Linked DNA regions of Daphnia pulex. The protein of the gene in region 2 interacts with the protein of the main gene of each other region in a biochemical or structural test. Links are inferred from orthologs where the notes say so. Each region holds a gene or a part of one and is shown on either strand. Other genes may lie near its edges.

What was found. The genes of interacting proteins can lie anywhere in the genome.
Region 1: the proteins of replication protein A 70 kDa DNA-binding subunit-like (region 2) and E3 ubiquitin-protein ligase RFWD3-like form a complex in vitro, tested with the Homo sapiens proteins (3 studies listed by BioGRID, with this or other methods). The link is inferred for Daphnia pulex from reciprocal best matches to the Homo sapiens genes RPA1 and RFWD3.

The regions. Positions count from the first base shown.
Region 1 is NC_060027.1:2,170,143-2,174,370, forward strand, and holds the start of E3 ubiquitin-protein ligase RFWD3-like, read left to right. Parts: upstream 1-1,425; 5' UTR 1,426-1,860; coding exon 1,861-2,128; intron 2,129-2,189; coding exon 2,190-2,320; intron 2,321-2,383; coding exon 2,384-2,578; intron 2,579-2,640; coding exon 2,641-3,395; intron 3,396-3,470; coding exon 3,471-3,660; intron 3,661-3,727; coding exon 3,728-3,884; intron 3,885-3,953; coding exon 3,954-4,147; 3' UTR 4,148-4,228. Other genes in the region: nose resistant to fluoxetine protein 6-like, read right to left, coding at 1-433, 794-1,112. UniProt on the Homo sapiens protein: E3 ubiquitin-protein ligase required for the repair of DNA interstrand cross-links (ICL) in response to DNA damage. Plays a key role in RPA-mediated DNA damage signaling and repair.
Region 2 is NC_060017.1:3,019,595-3,023,661, reverse strand, and holds the start of replication protein A 70 kDa DNA-binding subunit-like, read left to right. Parts: upstream 1-1,256; 5' UTR 1,257-1,380; coding exon 1,381-1,425; intron 1,426-1,487; coding exon 1,488-1,538; intron 1,539-1,602; coding exon 1,603-1,857; intron 1,858-1,927; coding exon 1,928-2,142; intron 2,143-2,204; coding exon 2,205-2,367; intron 2,368-2,429; coding exon 2,430-2,534; intron 2,535-2,600; coding exon 2,601-2,700; intron 2,701-2,784; coding exon 2,785-2,897; intron 2,898-2,964; coding exon 2,965-3,099; intron 3,100-3,159; coding exon 3,160-3,423; intron 3,424-3,481; coding exon 3,482-3,565; intron 3,566-3,627; coding exon 3,628-3,697; intron 3,698-3,765; coding exon 3,766-3,890; intron 3,891-3,954; coding exon 3,955-4,062; 3' UTR 4,063-4,067. Other genes in the region: ankyrin repeat and MYND domain-containing protein 2-like, read right to left, coding at 1-246, 333-472, 541-706, 770-952. UniProt on the Homo sapiens protein: As part of the heterotrimeric replication protein A complex (RPA/RP-A), binds and stabilizes single-stranded DNA intermediates that form during DNA replication or upon DNA stress.

The DNA of each region.
Region 1 (4,228 bases), on a different chromosome or scaffold from region 2:
TCTTTAAAGCAATATTGCTCGTCAGTCACGGTCACGATGGAATAATTTGCGATGACGTAACTGCCAATGAGCTCAGCAACCGCTTGACCGAGGTCGGCAGCACTGCAAGATGATGGCAGGCAGAATGTGGTACTAGGATAAATGTAAGTGCTGGCATCCGCCACGGACACTTTTGGCTCGACCCGATCCGATCCCAATAATCCCAAAAGCTGAAAAATAGTGACAAAGTTCCTTCTTCCTTCGTGGTTCTCATTGAATGATCTCGGAGGTAGAATTTCGGACTGATCGACTGCCACTGGTTGAAAGTAGACGCTGCAGTATTGCCCATCGAATCCGGGTGCCCGAACGGCCAGACATTCATCGAAAAGTCCATCCGCGTGAATGTTACGTGATCCAAATAACCCCGGTGGAAGCTTGGCTGAAGACTCTTGCACTATTTTTTAAATAAATAATTAATGAATTACACAATGTTTGTCCCAAATTTCGAGATGTGATAATCACTTGTTATCTAATCATCGTTACCAGATGTCATTAGTAAGTGAAAATAAGGTCATTGTTCAATCTCTAGTCACCTTTTGCATCCTTCATTATCAGTTCTTTATACGACAGAGAATATAATAATCAATACAATTCAACCTTTGTAACATGACTAATAGGACAGATCTTCCACACACATCCGCCATGTCATTCAACGATATCGTAAACACGCTATTACAACATTTTTTTAAACACATAGTTCAGTTTTGAATATTATTCCATGATTATTATTAATGCAGCTTCTTTTTCAACTTACTTTGTAAGGCCCATAGACTTTGGTTGGCGTAAAGGTTATGAACGTAATACTGGCTATCTTGTAAACATTGTTGACTAATATTTTTAGCCACCGCCGTTGGGAATGAAGAAGATTTGAGTGCGGCGAAAACGTTGTGAAGTGTTGACGTTAAATCAAAAGTGGACCCACTTTCCTGAAGTTGTTGGCTAATTATATTCCTCCACTTTTCAAAAGATCGTTCACTCTCCGGTGAAATGATTAACGCCGGATTTATGAATTGTTGAGACTGGCCTCCTACCCAAAGTAGAAGAAAGGTAATCTTCCACAGCATGGAACCCATAACGAGTGACTGAAAAGGACAACAGCTCCGAAATTTTTGACTGACGACTAATGAACACGTCCAGAGAATTTATACCCTTAATCAATCTCATCAGTCTCATACAATTGTACTCTTTGGAAGTTGGAACTTTTTATCTTTGGAACAAGTGACAAGGTGGTTTATCTATGCTTTGTGACTATATCCCCTAGATTAAACGTTGCACAATGGTATTTCCGCTTGATCCCAAACCGATCACAATGAAATCAAAAATTAACACACATACCTTATGGTCTAAGTTTCTGGTGCACCGCGTGGTCTACAATGTTTGAAGTGTTGAATTTATTGGTCGAGGCAGAGTCGTTTACAGTAAATTATTCTGATCGAGGTAAATGAAAACGTTTCTTTTTCATTTTATTTCTTTGATAATAGATTTTTAGTGCCATTTACGTCGAGTTCTAATGTAAACAAGAATTTCCTCTGTCGAAAGCAAATGTTATTTTCAAAATCGATCCGGCGACACGGCGTTCGACCCGTTCGTATGTCAAAATGAATGAGCTAATAAAGTTCCGAGGGCCATCTGGTGACGGATGTAAATTTGATTCACCATTGCTTCAAAGATGGAGTTGTAGTCAATAAAATTTCTTTATGAAGATTTTTGTTGACCAACTCAAGTTGACCATATACTCGCCCATTTTCGTTTTCAATTAATTTATTACTCGTGCCGTGCGTGCCCAATGTGTTAATTAAAACGTGCTGAAATATTCCAAGTATGGCCAGCGACATCGACGAATCAGCAGTAAGATTAGATACTGCTGATCCGGAAGAAGTCCAAGTTGCAGGTCCCTCACTTGAACAACGTAACCAAAGAGCAAGTGTTATTGTTGTCCAGCCTTCGTCTACTGAAAACAGAATTGGTACCGTAGAACTGGAAATCACGAATGAAGCTCAAACAGATCAGGATAGTCGTGATAGTTTAGCTGAAAGTAATGGACCATTGTCCCCTATTTTGATCAGAGGCAGGCGACGCAGGCCTAGAGGTATGCTAAAGAATTTTCCTCCCTTTTCTCATTAATAATTTTTATATTTCTCATTCATTAGATGAAGATAATGATGATGAAGAAACTGAAGATGGGGGGCCTCCTTCAAGGAAATCTAAATCAGATTCTGCTGGCGGTTTTCTCCCAGAAAAAGAAGACAAAACTGCTGTAGATGATGAAGAAGATGGACAAGTAAGTCTGTTGCTAAGTGGAGTACTTTTTTTGTGTTATCCTGCATTATTCATATGGTTATAGGTCTGCCCAGTATGTTTTGATGTTTGGAGCAACTCTGGATCCCACAGAGTTGTGTCGTTAAAATGTGGACATTTGTTTGGGCAAGCATGCATAGAACGTTGGGTTCACTCTGGTGGCAAGGGGGCCAGGTGTCCACAGTGTAATGAGTCCGCTCAAAAGAAGGATATTAGGCCTATATATGTTAGAAATTTAAAGGTAACTAAAATTTGTTAAAAACAATTGTTTCCTACTCTAATATCAAAATGGTTGATTTCCAGGCAATAGACACGACAGAAAGAGACAGAGCCTTGTCAGCTCTAGAGCAGGAGAAAGAAAACCGTCGTAGGTTAGAGTTAGAGTATCACAAACTTCAAATTCAAACAACCGCCAAAGAGCAAGATATTTTACGATTGCAACAAGAGTTACAACAATGCCGTGCAGCTTTGTCAGGCGCCTGTTTAGCAGCCAGTGGCCAGGGAGCCGAATTACCTTTAGCGGGGGCAGGTCCTCTATTTGGATCTCAACCTCCTGGAATACTAGGCCGTCGTTTAGTTCTGGATTCGACACTGGAGCTTTGTAAAGAAGGCCAGTGTCGCGTCATGTCTTATAGCGAACATTTAACTCTGCTCGTAGTGTCTTATGCTGGAACAAATTCGCACTTGACGGGCACTGGTATCAAGAAAGTAAACGCACTGGGAGGATTTCGCACTGTCGGTTACATCGCCGTTCACCGAAAGCCCATCCGCGACATGGCCTTCCACCTGGAACAGAACGACCTGCTTCTGACTGTTTCGTTGGACAAGACGGCCAAGCTGGTAAACGTCCACAGTGACATCTCAGTCACTTCGTACCAGTGCGATGCACCTCTTTGGAGTTGCGCATGGAATGCCGACAACAAATACCAATTTTTCGTTGGAACTGGCACTGGCAAGGTTTTACTTTACGATATGCGCAAATCCGGCGATGCAGTTGAGTGCTGGTCAGAGCCCAACAGCATGTCGCCCGTCACTGGACTTGCTTACCTTCCATTCAGGTGAACCTTTTAATGTTTTATGTAATTTTGTTTTTGTTCCTGGATAATTGACTGAATTTGATTTTCTTTTGCTAGTCCGGTGACCACTTTTCCCAGAGGTGGACTCTTTGTTCAGCGTTTGCAGTCGTGTGTCTTCCACGAGTCACGGACAGACGGCTTTGTTCCACATACACTGCCTTTGGATGGGTCCTTCACATCGCTTTGCATTGAGCCAGAGACGCGCCATTTTCTGGCCTCGTCTAGGCCCAGCACCGCTCATCCCCAAGTAATAATTCACATTCGTTCTTGACATTTCAATTAGAATCTGGCGGTAATAAGGGTCATCCATTTAGGCTCGCCATACCGTCTGTGCTCCTTCTTGGACTCCATTGGGTAGCGATTCGTCCACCGGCCTTTGCAGTAGTCACGCTATTACGACCATCCAAGCTGGATCACAGCAGAAGTTGCTCTCCCGTTCGTGCCTCCTTACTGCCCCGGGCTCCACTGAAGGTAAATTATTGATTATTTCACGCCTGAATTGACCCACAAATTAATTTTTGTTTTAATTATTTGCATCAGGCAAGCAGCTAATGGTGGCTGCCCATCAAGAGGCCGCCCAGTGTATTTCGCTATGGGACGTCAATTCATCGGCAGTGCTTCAAAAGCTGCCCTGTTCAGATCCCGTTTTGGATCTCCTCCCTATCCGCGTCAATGGCGTCCATTTCGTTGCTGCATTGTCGGAAAAGAATGCCCGTTTCTACAAGTGGACATAAACCAGGAATATTTCACTTTTTCAGTAATTATTATTACCACTATGGTCATTTCTATACCAAAACTCTGAGATTTTGTACAAA
Region 2 (4,067 bases):
TTTAACATATTGATTTAATAACTCCAAAACGGTTTTGTCGGGGTGCTGCTGCTGCTCTTTGGCCATTCTTTCGACTAGGAAACGCAAATAGTGGTATTTAAGTGCGAGGATCTCGTTGACTTCTTGGCTGCGCTTCATCTGATTTTCGCTAAGTATCTCCAAGACGTTTTTCACTTTTGTGAGGTTATCGTAAAGCAAAGGAAGTTTTTGAATAGTCAACAAAAGGTGAACTGGATGCAGATTGACCTGATAAATCAAACAAAACAAAAAGTTCAAGTGCTTTTCCGTGGCAGAATAAGAAATGAAGTGATGTGTCTATTCAAGTGCACAACCTGCATCACAAATTTGTGCAAAGCTGGTGCAGCAGCTGGTGGCAATTTTGGCTCAGTTTGATCGCTAGGAGCTACAGTGTACTGCTCTATTTCTGAGCGTGGAATGAAATTGTTGATGATGGAAACAACTGTGTGATTCCCTGGTTTGCCAAAATAATTCATTTTAGTTTTGGATGATTTGTACAAACATTATGATTGACTAGCCTACCTACAAATGCAGCCATTTGAGCTGCAGTTCTGCCTACTGAGTTAACCACATCAGGTTTACAACCACACTGAAGTAATTGTTGACAAATATCCAAATTTCCAGACAGAGCTGCAAAATGAAGGGAAGTATACTTGTGTTCATGATGACCTCCATTGGCATCAGCTCCCTTCGAGAAAAAAAGTCAACTTTTCAATCAAATTAACAACATTGATAATATAGTTAGACTTACCAGGTCAAGGAGCAACTGGCAAATATCTTTTTTCCCTTTAAAAGCGGCATGTTGCAGTAATGTCATTCCATGCTCATCCTCATCGTCAATTTCAACGTCCCGGGATTTTATAAGTTCTTGCAAACCACTAGTATCATTGTTGTTAATCTTGTCAATAGCTTTAATAAAGTTTTCCGAAATCATTTTTCGAGATTCTTTGGCAATTAACTCGTTTTTGAAGGAAATCAAATAATTCAGTCACAAATTTTCATATAACGATATAGTTTCCGTTGTCGTCTGCAACTGTTGCTATAACAACCGGACATTTCGAAAAACAAAAAATCCAACAACGCCAAAAATGCGAATAAAACGAAAACTTATTTTTGCTTCGTATGAACCTTTATTTCAGAAAAAAAACTTTTTCATTATTTTTCTTCTTTATATTTTTAGTGGTCTTCATTGAGTTAAAAAGTTTCTTAAACATTCAACGCTGCACGTTCAGCCTTGGTTTCGTTTGTACCACTGTTGTTTTCCCGCCATCGCACTTCGTCGTCTTGTCCGTAAAAACTGCTTAAAAAAATTCAAGCACGTTGACTGAACGAAGTAATCCCCGTTAAAAAAGGTTCCGTAAAATGAACAGAAGAAATCACCCAGCACTAACCAGCGGCGCAATTCCGGTAATATCAATCATAATTTCGAATTTTTGAATAAAACTATAAATATCTTTATTTCGACATAGTCCATCATTGGGAATGGCCTGCACAATGAAACTCCAATTCTACAAGTTTTGGTAAGCAACGAGCAAGATTTTTTCTTCATTTGCAGCATTTTTACATTTTCTTCTCTTACAATAGGGTTACAAAAATCTTCAGGGAGACAATAATGACCGTTACAGAATTCTCATCTCTGATGGAAAGTATTCCTATGCATATGGAATGTTGGCAACACAACTAAATCATCTGATTGTGGATGGTCAGCTTGAGAACTTTACCATCATTAGAGTAAAAAAGTTTGTTGTTAACAAAGTTGCTACTAAGGCAACTGCAGGCAAGGACCAAAAGAAAATTATCATTCTTTTGGATGTTGAGCCAATTGTGCCTGGAAGTGAAGTATGTTCACTTTACTTAGTTTCGAAATACAAATAAGGATATCTCTTCATTTTGAACATTTTTTGTTTAGGTTGGAGAAAAAATAGGAAACCCTCAGACTCTTAATGATGTTGGAGAGGTTACTGAAGAGGCAGCAGCAAAACCTGCACCTTTAGGAAATGTGAACAATTACAATATGGGATCGAAGTCTGCACCACCTAACAAAACTGGTGGATATGGACAGCCAACAGAGAAGTCTGACATTATTACCCATCCGATTGTAAGCCTTACACCCTACCAAAACAAGTATGTTTGTTGAGAAATTTCAGTACAAGAAAAATTGAATCATTAACTTTGCTTGTTTGTAGGTGGACTGTAAAAGTGAGAATTATAAACAAGTCCGATATCCGTACGTGGAGCAATTCTCGAGGTGAAGGAAAGCTTTTCTCGATGGACATGGTGGATGAGACTGGTGAAATCCGTGCCACTGCATTCAATGCCGAGTGTGACAAGTTTTACCACATGATTGAGGTACATTTAATTCAAAAACAGTGTTTGAAGTTATTTATTTACATTGTTATTTTTCGTTGTAGATCGGCAAGATCTTTTACATTTCACAAGCACAACTGAAGGCAGCAAACAAACAGTACAGCAGTATGAGGAACGATTATGAAATGTCGTTCAACCAAAATACTACAGTATGAATGTTTTTCAATCGTCAATCGTACCAGCCTCAATTTTTTTTTCTTTTACTTATTTTTTAGGTAATTCCTTGCCACGATGATACATCAGATATCCCATCAATCTCCTTCAACTTTGTTCCCATTGATCAGCTACCTAGCCTGGACAAGGACAGTGTTATTGGTAAGTTGTCTTTTAGGTGCATTAACATTACAATTCTTCTATTTGAATGGTGCCTACGATATGACCGATTGACCGTGCTTTCAGATGTCATTGGTGTGGTTAAGTCAGCAAATGACGTCCGCGTTATCGTTTCCAAAACGACAAATAAAGAATTGAGGATGCGAGAAGTTCAGATGGTGGACAGTACCAACACAGAGGTATGACTGGATTCTTCGTTTAATTGTCGAGCCCAGTTAATTAATCATTCTTGTCTTCAAACATCAGGTTAATTTGACTTTATGGGGAAAAATGGGCGAGGAATTTGACGCTAGCTCCCAGCCTGTTGTAGCATTAAAAGGAGTGAAACTTTCTGATTTTGGAGGTCGTTCTCTAGGAACAGTCTCGTCTACTGTCGTGCAGGTAAAATCAAATGTAAGACTTTCTATTTCTCTACTATTCTACAGCGCATATTTTTAATAGATCAATCCTGACATGAATGAAGCTCACAAACTAAGAGGGTGGTACGATAACGGTGGCTCATCATCGGCCGCTTCTAGCATTTCGGCGAGTCGTGGCGCTGGCACTGGTGGTAGTGGTGGGTCGTATAAGACTTTCGCTGAAGCAAAATTCGAAAACCTGGGAAAAGATAAACCTGATTTCTACAGTGTTAAGGCTATGGTTGCTATGATCAACAAAGAAAGAGCGTTGTACATGGCTTGTCCCAGTGATGAATGCAACAAAAAGGTAAACATAAATATATAATAAAACAACTCATTTTTGACAATATTTGCGTTTCCCGCAGGTCATCGATCAAAACAATGGCCTCTATCGATGTGAGAAATGCCAGCGCGAATTCCAGGAATTCAAATGGCGCATGATGCTTTCGGTATGACAAAGATATTTTATGAAATCTATTTCTCTCAAAACAGCACTCGAAATTTGTTATAGGTCAATATCGCGGATGCCACGGACCAGCAATGGGTAACCTGCTTCCAAGAAACCGCTGAAACTCTTCTTGGTAATTTTGTTTTCGAACTAATGTTACGTTTAGCATATAATATTTATTTATTTGATTATAAATTTTAGGGAAATCCGCAGACGAGGTCGGTAGATTGAAGGATTCGGATAATAACGAATTTCAGAAAATTTTCGAAGAAGCTACTTTTAAGTGGTATGTCTTCCGCCTGAGAGTGAAAATGGAGACGTACAATGTAAGTCTATGAGCATTATGAATTTCGATCTTGTTATCTGTTGACGCTTTTACCTTTTCTTTAGGATGAAAGCCGCCTCAAAACAAATGTCTATGAAGTGAAGGAAATCAACTATAAAGAGCACAACGAGCGATTGATTCGAGAAATGAAAGAAATGGCTGCATCAGAATGAATGGA